Yarrowia lipolytica: one gene and its partners. The protein of the gene in region 1 interacts with the protein of each later gene in a pairwise test. Links are inferred from orthologs where the notes say so. Each region holds a gene or a part of one and is shown on either strand. Other genes may lie near its edges. The genes, in order: YALI1_D14609g, YALI1_E08545g and YALI1_A19483g.

Region 1 (3,807 bases):
GAGCTCCTACGACTACCATCCGATATCACTAATGAGCACCGTACCCAACGACCGAGAAATCGTCCAGGCCGTGGTCGACATCTGGCGCAAAGACAAGGCCACCGAAAAGCTCGGGGCCGCGAAGCTCACAGGACTGGTGAAGCTGACCCACTCGGACTGGCAGTTGAGTGAAAAGCGAGTCAAGACGGTTATGAAGGCTGCCAACCTGGGTCTGAACCAGGAAAAGTTCTGCTACGCGGGGTCTATTATGTCGCACGCGACTCCAGGGCTCGATATGCCTGAAAAAGTGACCCTCAACATTGCCAAGAACCGAGGCAAGGGCCTATATGCCAAGAAGGATATCAAGAAGGACGAGGAGCTGTGGAACGAGCAGGCGTTTCTGCTGGTTCCTCCTCTGGAGCATGTTGGTATCATGCGTAAGGGCATGGGCTGTGCCTTTTGTTCGCGGCCCTTCCAGTCGCACAATGGAGTGGAATGTCCGTCTTGTGCTGCCAAGTGGTGCGACAACCAGTGCAAGAAGAAGGACGTCACTCATGTGGCCATGTGGCACGAGAGTAGGCATGGGAAAGTGACGAGGGTGGAGTGGCGTGCCTTTGAGGACTTCTGTGTGGAAAATGGCTGGATGGCTCTGTATGCTCTGGGCCTACTGTGGCTGCGGGTCATCAGAGACCCTAAAAAGGACGAGGTGCAGAAGCAGATGATGGCGTTTGCGCGGGTCGGCCAGGATGAGCGCCACAAGGCCGTGGAGCAGTCCAACTCACTGTTTGCGTCCGAGCAGTCTGAGGTGCTGTGGAAGAAGGGCTACGAAATGCTGGACAAGCTACTATTGGACACGGAGTTTTCTTACGAGAAGGACTTTCTGCCCGGACTAGGCATGTTCAACATTAACAACGTGGACGGAAACATGTACTTAACCCAGAGTCATCTCAACCACTCGTGCGAACCCAATGTGGATGTCAAGAACGTGGGCCGAACGCAGGGCATTTCTGTGCGTGCCAAGCGAGATATCAAGACCGGAGAAGAACTGTTCACCACGTATGTAAACCCTGAGCACCAGTTGGATGACCGACGATACAATCTGCGAGTCAACTGGGGCTTCAACTGCAACTGTACCCGGTGCAAGAGGGAGGAGAGAGAGGAGATGGAATACCTGGACGAGCTGGTGTCCAACTGGACCATTGAGCACAAGCGCAAGGAGATGAAGGAGGAGAAGAAGGAGCGAACTCGAACCAGAACCCGAAGTGTTCATTTCGATAAGGAGCCTGAGGTGGTGGCATGATGAGGGGAGACGGAGTGAATAGGACCGTGTACCTGGGTAGGGCTATATTGCAATGAGATACGCATGGGTATTATTGTAGATGGTAAAAGACGCTGTAAACTATTAGTACAAGTTCACTATCGATGAGTTCATACATACTCAATAGCTCTTAAGAGTATTACAAATGCCTCCTTTGACCGTGTACACATGGCCTATTGGTAGAATCCTTAACCTGGACACACTGTCCTGATATTGCAATATGGAAGGTTGAACACTTCAGTAAACGAAAGAGCGTATCGAAAACTACCACAAAACCAACTTGCAGTCTAACCAAAAAAAAACTTGGCGAGATTGAAGTTTTACTTATTGTCCTCAACAAAACATATACATTATAGTTGGTCATGAAGAAGTAGAACATAACAGGACATCTAACTCACGTATTACTTTCTTGATAAAGAATATAAAAAGACAGAAACTATTTAAACGACCTGATATCTCCCCTTGTGTCATCAATCTATTCCAATAAGCCCCCCCCTTTCGGCTTCATTTCCCACCTCTTCTCCAAGACGCCACAGGGTTAGGGTTGACCCGTGCCCAAAGGCAATCACCACCTCACCCATTACCACACAACTCTTTGACACAACAACACATACAATCTCTCTTCAACCGACCTGAAAAATGACCATAGAAATTGCGAAACCTGCCGGCGAGCATTCTCTACCTTCCTCGGCGACCCCCGAGGACTATTACCGTCGATTGAAGCAGCTGGAGCGGGAATACGAACTTATCTCTCTTCAGGAAGAGTACATCAAAGACGAGCAGCGCCACCTGAAGCGCGAGCTGGTGCGAGCCCAGGAGGAGGTCAAGCGGATCCAGTCGGTGCCACTGGTGATTGGACAGTTTCTGGAGCCCATTGATCAACAAACAGGTATTGTGGCGTCCACCACCGGCTCCAACTATGTCGTGAGAATCCTGTCCACACTCGATCGGGAGCTGCTCAAGCCCTCGTCATCGGTGGCGTTGCATCGACACTCCAACGCGCTGGTCGACATTCTGCCTCCGGAGGCTGATTCGTCTATCGCCATGCTGCGGCCTGATGAGAAGCCCGATGTCTCCTACGCCGACGTGGGAGGCCTTGACATCCAGAAGCAGGAGATCCGGGAGGCTGTGGAGCTGCCTCTAACACAATTTGAGCTCTACAAACAGATTGGTATTGATCCTCCTCGAGGTGTTCTGCTTTTTGGCCCTCCTGGAACCGGCAAGACCATGCTGGTCAAGGCGGTGGCAAACAACACCACGGCATCGTTCATTCGAGTGGTGGGCTCCGAGTTTGTGCAAAAGTATCTGGGAGAGGGTCCTCGAATGGTCAGAGACATTTTCCGACTGGCCCGAGAAAACTCGCCATCCATCATTTTCATCGACGAGATCGACGCCATCGCCACGAAGCGTTTCGATGCACAGACCGGTGCCGACAGAGAGGTCCAGCGTATCCTGCTGGAGCTGCTCAACCAGATGGACGGTTTCGACCAGACCTCCAACGTCAAGGTGATCATGGCCACCAACCGAGCAGACACACTGGATCCTGCTCTGCTGCGTCCCGGTCGACTGGACCGAAAGATCGAGTTCCCCAACCTGCGAGACCGCCGAGAACGACGTCTGATTTTCTCCACCATCGCCTCCAAGATGTCTCTGGCTCCCGAGTGTGACCTGGACGCTCTCATCATTCGAAACGACCCTCTTTCTGGTGCCATCATCGCGGCCATCATGCAGGAGGCCGGTCTGCGGGCCGTTCGAAAGAATCGATACGTCATCATCCAGAGCGATCTGGAGGAGGCCTACTCTGCCCAGGTCAAGGTGGGAAGCGACAAGGACAAGTTTGAGTTCTACAAGTAAACCACTTGCGAGTGCCATAGACAGCGCAGGGAGATGGAGCGGGAAGTTATAGGTATATACATTGCATTTTCATGCTTAGAATGATAAAACAGTTGATGTGACTCGTGAAAATCGGGATAAGTTTTTTTAAAATTACTCACAAGTAATTAATTCTCATAAGACCATTTAGTTAACTATACTCGTCTAGGCCCGCTGACGAGGTACAAAACCATGTATTAGGACGAGATGACAACGATTCAGTAACAATGAGAACACCATAAAGGATGTCACGTGATTCACTCAACACGCCTATTTCCTGTTTCTGATGATCCGTTGAGCACTTCCCATTGAAAATTGGAGAACCTAGATCAAAGGCCAGCGGTTTTCATACACAGACAAGAGATGTTGTCCACTCGAGTTGCTGCACTCGCATACTCGTCCCTTAATCCAGCAGAATCGGTTCAAACTCAGAGTCTCCTTGAACCTCGGGCTTCTTCTTCTTCTTCTTGACTCTAGGTGTGGAAGGAGGAGAGTCGTCCAGATCAATAACTTCTGGCTTTTTGTGTTTCTCCGAAGTGGGAGAGCTGGAAGAGTCTGCTGAGGCTGCTGAGGCCGAAGAGATCACAGTGGCCGTGGGAGCACTTGTAGATTTGCTAGTCTCCTTGATGTCTACCTTC
Region 2 (3,703 bases), on another chromosome or scaffold:
GTTACAAGAACTTCGTGCCTGGACCCTTCTACCTTGGTCGTGTGATCTCCAAGTGTGTTTCGACTTTTGCTGTGCTTTACCTGTGTTTTGCCATCTGTCTGCTGATGTTCCCTCTGGAGGGACCCAACCCCAACAAGGACAACATGAACTACACCTGTGTCATTAACGTGGCCGTGTGGGCTGGCTCGCTCATCTACTACTTTGGATGGGCCCACAAGTGGTTTGAAGGACCTCAGAGCAACTTGGAGCTCGAGGGTATGGAGGTTGAGGGAGTTCCTCAGCTAACAAAGATGAACCAGACGGACCCCGCTCAGAGCGACAAGTCCGTCGAGTAGATTATTTATGTATATTTATTATTGATCGAATCATTATATTGGTATTATAGAGTGACCGCCACACGCAGGAGATACTACATTGTAGCTGCTAGAGATAGTAGAGCCCACCAGGCAGATACTCCGCTGATTACACGTGTCATGATCATACATCTATTCATACATGCTATAAGTCACCTGTGCCTAAGCCTCCAGCCAAACACCCTCACCTCGGTCGTGAATCCATCCACCCAACTGCTTGACGTTGGCGTCCCACTGGTCGAGTCTCTGCTTCATGTCGGCAATCTGCTGCTTGTTGAGCACTCGGGGCTGCAGCCATGTGATAGTGATGGTCTGAGCAACCTGGTCAATGTGGCCCTTGATGAGCTCCAACGACAGCGCCTTCATGACCAGATGCTCAATCTCGTCTGCGGGCAGCTGAGTCTCCTTTGCCACTGCGGCAAAGGTCAGAGTTCGGTCGTTGGTGGGTCGCTTAAAGGCAGCCTCTGTCAGTGCTGTCAGACAGATCTTTTGTCGCAGCAGAGGCATGGCGGCCTCGAGAGGAGGCAGCTTGGAAACATGCTGCGATGTGAGCTTCTCAAACTCGGAGATGTCGCCCTGGTTCAGTGCGAACAGCAGGTCTCGCAACCAAGCGTACTCTGTGTTCTTCAGACTGTCCAGTACGGGATGCAGCAACAGCTCTCCAAAGTTGTGAATCTTCTCTCCCAACAGGGCTGCCACAGACAGTTCATGGGCTCGCTTCTGGACGGCCTCCACCGACAAAGTAGACAGATCGATGCACGCCAGGTACAATAGAGCGTTACGGTAGTAGGTGTTGAAGTCGCCCTTGGAAAGATAGTAGTCGGCGTTGACGCCGTAGTAGGCGGCGGTAATGATGGGATCGACAGAGTTCAGAGAGTCGATGGTGCCGGTGACGGAGTTGAGCACCTCTCGAGCGCCATCCATGTCCTTGAGACGCAGCTTGACTCGTGCAATCTCAATCTGGGCGTACACGTACGCATCCTGGGTGTCGGGCTTGTGGCTGACCTTATCTGCGAGGCTGGTGAGGAAGCCCAAGGTCTCCTCGTCGTTATTGCACTGGGCAGCTGCCAGCACTCCGAAAATGACCAGTTTCAGCTGGTTCAAGTTGCGCTCAAAAACCTGGATGAATTGCGTGAAGATTCGCAGTCGCAGAGGCTTGGATCGGGGGTCTGCGTACAGCTCGGCCAGCGCATCTGTCAGCTGGTGCCACAGCTTTCGCTCCCACAGATCTTCCAACGAGTAGAAAGTTGCGGCCAGCTCGGGATCGGCCTCCATTCGGAGAGTAGCCAGGATAGTGGGCACGTCGTTGTCTATTTCCATTGTCGCAATTGTGATGTCGTGTGATTGATTGTGCAGTGTGGGTGGCAATGGTGATGTTGGTGGGTAAGGTTGGCAAGGATTAAGGTTTAGTAGTAGATAGGTGGCCATTAGAGGAGCCTGATTATTGTGGCAATTATGACTAGTAATTGTAAAAAAAAGTATGTGGATTATAAAAGAGGGTGTTGTAATGCCATAAAATCTTTTCAAAACTTCGGACTGATATCAAATCATGGTGTTGGAGAGGAAATAATTCCTAAAGTAATGGCCGATGACTCGTTGACCTTAAGTTAATTAATTACTTAACCGAATGTTATAACATCTTAGGTTCAATTCCCGCAAACATCACATTTAAAGGAGGGTGCCGTTTTGTGATCTAGATCACTGTAATTACAAGTACAAGTAAATAGTACTTGTGTACAGCTATTGTAAAAAATATAGAAGAGTTCCATAACTCCTTCACTACTAGACTGCTGTACTCATTCGGTATCAGTTATCCTCAAGCAATATCATTTACTTACCAACATCCCCTCATGAGAAGAAGTACATTATTTAGGGTACTAGCAGAAAGCCCCTGATCACCTGATTCTACTCGAGCTGTCCTTGTCTTGTAGCTCTTCTGATACCTCTTCTTCTCATCCCTGGAATAATCTGCGGCTTGTTCTGATACAATCAAACGCAGGCCAGTCCTCGAAACGGTTTTATGCTTCTATTGAGTTCAGCCCATTTCTGGAGTTCTTGTCATCCTAAGCTTGCACTATAGCCATAACTTGAACTGTAGTACGCGGACACTTCCATGCATCTCTATCGTGTATCACGTGAGACGATCCGACCGTATTTCCACGCTGTTAAAAGCTCGCCAGATGGGTTCCAAAATCATCCAGAGGCGTTTCTCCCGAAAGTTTTACTCGTTTATTTTTTCACTGATTGTCTAAAACTTTTAAAACTCTCATTATTCAAATGAAATGTATCAGATGTAAAGCCCAGACGTCGTTAGGTTGACATCATTGTACATGTGAGTTTGTCAAAGGTCTGAAGAGTGGCAAATAGGGGCCAAAAACAGAGTAAGGGGGCAATCATAGATACTTGTGGGTGAAGCGAAACAGATTACAGGCACTTCTGCTACTAGAACTGCCCCAAACAACACAAATTAGTCATCGTTGCACCCGACTGCTTTCAAACTCGAACATGTTTTTCATTATACATTTATTTATAGTTTTGACAATGCATGGAGTACTTGATTGTACTTGTGCATGTACACGTCAACTGTGAATAATACTGTACTAGAGGGGTCACGGTAGTGGGGGGTTATGGGATTCGTATAACAATTCTAAAATATGAATTTAATTCCAAATCTCGACTTATATTGATTCCATTTTTCACGCCACCAAAACCTCCCTTCCCCACCCCTTTTTTCGTCACCCCTTCTCTCCCCCAACACGTGTTAAACTTCTGGCTCTTCTCTATCAACCTTAACCAGATCCCTCATATACAACTCTATAGCGTTCGGAAATCCACTCTCATGATTCAACTACCATCATGTCTTCGCTACCGACACCGCTGCCTCCCTACAAATGGACCCTGTTAACGGCAGGTAACGCCAACGTGGTTTACAAGAGCGATGAGACCGATCTGCTTCTGCGACTGCGACGAAACCGAAACGCCCCTTCCACAGCCGAGGTGGACGAGTATCTAACTGGAACAATCCGACCGGCCATTGGCCCCTTTCTGTTTCACTATACAGTTGTGAATCTGCCTCTGGGGTTCCTCGAGTCGCTTCCCGAGGCCGAGAATCTCGATCTCGGAGAGCCCCTGGGTCTGCTCATGGAGAACCTGGGGCCTAAACCAAATGAAACCAACGTGCTCAAGTCCCACGCAGTCAAAATCAACTACAGCGACAACTGGGAGTCATATACGGTCGAATTGAAGCCCAAGTGGCTGCTTCAGAGCCCAACAGCACCCAAGGACAGCATCAACTGCCGAACCTGCGCGTTACAGCTCAAGCGAGAGAAGCCTCGAATCTGCCCTCTCAA
Region 3 (3,123 bases), on another chromosome or scaffold:
GCTGATACTGGGTTGTTTCTGCTTATACATTCATTTATTTCCGTGACGCCATTTTATTTAGACAACGGCTGTTGTTACAATACCCAAGTAAACTCAAGTAAAATGTGACTTGGGTCAACTAATCCTCCATCACCTCAAACGACCCTTATCACGATCCACAGACATTCCATGGATAAGTAGATACAAGTAGTATCAATCTGTTGCACTGGTCTTGCCCATTTTGTTTACATCAATTATTTGTAATAAAACACAGACAGTCGAGTGAGACGTGACCACAAGTACAACAGTCGACCTACAACATGCGTATGTACATCGTCCTACGACAATTCACCTTAGAAGGACACTAGATGAGAGACGGCGGTTTCCTCATTCAATACACGTACCGTACTATCACTACACACTTTCTGCTCATTATAATATGCATCATCTAGAACAATTCATACTTCATCATGGTCAGGCCAGATCACAGATGGTAGTGACACTGAGATCCTCGCCGAACCGGTACTGTACCGATAGATTGTTGTTTCCGTATCGTATCTCCGATTTGTCGCTCCCTTAGATAATCTGCTCCATCTCCTTGGCGTACTCCAACGAGTTTCCAATCAGTTTCTCGGTCACCTTTCTGCTATTCAGAGTGGCGTCCTCGCTGATAACACCCGGGAAGGTGATTCGCTCACCGTGGATCTCCCAGCCAGGCTGCTCCTGCACAAAGTCCACCACGCCCTGGTCCGAGTCGAAAAACAGCAAATGTCGAGCATTGTTGAGAGGCAGCGAGGTGTATGCCTTTTCGGCGCACAAAGCAATTTCACCCCGGATGGCAAATACTAGAGGGTCGGCGAAACAGAGAAACTCGGAGCTGGGAACAGCGTCCTTGTTGGTGATGGCCTTCCACACCCGGTCGTAGGCTCCCTCCATGATCCATCTCTCTAGCTTAATGGGGAACGATAGAAACTTGTCGTTTTCCACCGTGTCAAAGTCCAACGACTCCAGCTCGGTGTGGAACTGCGCAATTTCGTTCTGCGACAGCAGCAGCAGCAGATAGAGCGCCACAATCTTGGACTCGTGGGGCGACGCAGAAAGACCCTGGATGCCATAAAACTGCCGCGATTGCGCCACAAACCTGGTGAATTCGGCCTCTTTGCCCAGATTGACGGCAGACAGAGCGCCAATCTCGAGCGCCGTTCGAGCTGCCTCCAGGTCCGCCTTTGAATGACCAGACGAGTTGGGCGACGTCAGAAGCCCGCTTTTGGCCATGTCCACCTTAAGGGGCAAAAGCAGCTGCTCCACCTTTTCGTAGTCGCCGGCCTTGTATGCGCTTTCCAGAGATGCGATTGGAGACATTGTCGTTGTGATTGCGGTTGTGTGGTTGAGTGGTTGAGTGGTGCTGGATCGTGTCACTACAGTTAGGTTAAGTGGCGATGTGCATGCACATAGAGGTTAAGAGTATGCGAAAAGGCGGAGTGAAGGGGGTCATTATCGGCTCCACAAGAGGGGGAGATGGAGTTTTTAGGGCCCACAGATGAGTTGAGTGGTATTGATTGCCACCTGCTTAGTCATACATGGGCTGGGGGTGTCATGGATCTGGACTGTTGATGACATGCGATTAACTGGCGGTATGGGCATCTGGGAGACGTGCAAATGATACCATTGGATATGGAAATATATGGCTCTTGATATGGTATTCTGGAGTTGAAGGAGTACCTCTGCTAAAGAGAACGGGTGAGGTTGTGAGACGAATAAGTGAGCTGGAGGGTAACGAAAGAGTCAGAAGTGGATTAGATGAGATTCGGAGTTGGTTGAAAGAGTCAGTTGGCCAATATTACCCCAGGATGTTCTTCTACGGTACAGTACATACTCGTTCAGTATCCAACTGAAAGCTGACTGATGGTGACGAACAAACAGCACCTTATAAGAGGGATAAGGACACGCCGAGAGATGATAAACTGATTGAAATGGGCATGAAAAGAAGGACGGATTTGTCAGATTTCCAATATCTCCTCTGTGGCGTGAGATAGATTCGTTGCTATTTGATAGACGACTGATGTATGTATAGTAGCCAGAAATGCCCGTTTAAGGAATTTTTCCGTTCCAATAATGCACTTGTAGACTTGACACCCGCTCTGTTTGTTACCTCCATCTTTTTTTTTGACCCAGGTCACACTACAAGTACTGCACTGTAGTAAAAGTTTTACTAACTGATCGTTACTTTTTGCCATGAGACAAGGGATTGGAGAGGGCTTCTAATGAGGCCAGTTTTGCCAATATGACGATAATTTTTTGACTGATCGAGAGCTATTGATTTGCTGATTCCAACCATAGTCTTTTCTAGTTTGTTGAGCCACCATTCTGTCCGTTGCATACGCCTTTTTATGTTCCTCCAATATGACGTAATTGTCATCTCTAAAAAACATCTTATTCCAATATTGACCATATAGGCCTTCCAAACAACTGGTATAGAAAGGGGTCAAAATGGCCGCGTTGCTCGAAACCTGTGCAATTCAATTTTCAAAATATATATAAAATCGACTCTTATCAAATCGGGGGTTTTCCCGATTCCAATCTATTTTACTCGATTTTTCTAATTCTGCCCGATATCACATCGTATCCAAGTGTATTGTACTCGCTCGTACATACTCGTACTCGTACTCGTCAAGACATCTGAAACACGTCACCCAAAGACAACAAAAGACACCAGCCAGTGCCGAGACAAGAGGCAGATGGTGCTTCTCTCAGGTACATGTGGAAATTGTGCAATCGGAGTTCTACAGAGTACAAGTACCGCTGGTTGTGCCACTTGTAGTACAACTGTTCTCTCTTGCTCTCCTGTATAGCAGGGTATATATACTCTCCAAGTGCAATACCACCATGTTCCCGCATGAGAGTCGTCAAAAATATACAGATTACACCCATCGGAAGGAGTCACGTGACCTCCACACACTCATCCCCCCACCCCAACGGACTTGTCCCGCTCTTTCTGGCTTATCTCCTAATCTCAAGAAGCGCGCCGAGTTGCTCGTATGTGGGAGGGTTGCCATTGTGGATGCATGGGGTATGCGTGGCTGGGATGTGTTTTCTGTTAGGGTAAGTGGGTCGTGACAGGATGTACTTAGGGCTGAGGGTTAC

What was found.
Region 2: the proteins of YALI1_D14609g (region 1) and YALI1_E08545g interact in binary tests that used the Saccharomyces cerevisiae proteins (3 or more experiments, as listed by UniProt). The link is inferred for Yarrowia lipolytica from reciprocal best matches to the Saccharomyces cerevisiae genes RPT3 and RPN9.
Region 3: the proteins of YALI1_D14609g (region 1) and YALI1_A19483g interact in binary tests that used the Saccharomyces cerevisiae proteins (3 or more experiments, as listed by UniProt). The link is inferred for Yarrowia lipolytica from reciprocal best matches to the Saccharomyces cerevisiae genes RPT3 and RPN12.

The regions. Positions count from the first base shown.
Region 1 is NC_090773.1:1,459,081-1,462,887, reverse strand, and holds YALI1_D14609g (uncharacterized protein), read left to right. Parts: upstream 1-1,936; coding exon 1,937-3,151; downstream 3,152-3,807. Other genes in the region: YALI1_D14628g (uncharacterized protein), read left to right, coding at 1-1,279; YALI1_D14585g (uncharacterized protein), read right to left, coding at 3,573-3,807. UniProt on the Saccharomyces cerevisiae protein: The 26S proteasome is involved in the ATP-dependent degradation of ubiquitinated proteins. The regulatory (or ATPase) complex confers ATP dependency and substrate specificity to the 26S complex.
Region 2 is NC_090774.1:852,561-856,263, reverse strand, and holds YALI1_E08545g (uncharacterized protein), read right to left. Parts: upstream 1,782-3,703; coding exon 516-1,781; downstream 1-515. Other genes in the region: YALI1_E08575g (uncharacterized protein), read left to right, coding at 1-335; YALI1_E08530g (uncharacterized protein), read left to right, coding at 3,210-3,703. UniProt on the Saccharomyces cerevisiae protein: Acts as a regulatory subunit of the 26S proteasome which is involved in the ATP-dependent degradation of ubiquitinated proteins.
Region 3 is NC_090770.1:1,946,462-1,949,584, reverse strand, and holds YALI1_A19483g (uncharacterized protein), read right to left. Parts: upstream 1,342-3,123; coding exon 556-1,341; downstream 1-555. UniProt on the Saccharomyces cerevisiae protein: Acts as a regulatory subunit of the 26S proteasome which is involved in the ATP-dependent degradation of ubiquitinated proteins. Necessary for activation of the CDC28 kinase.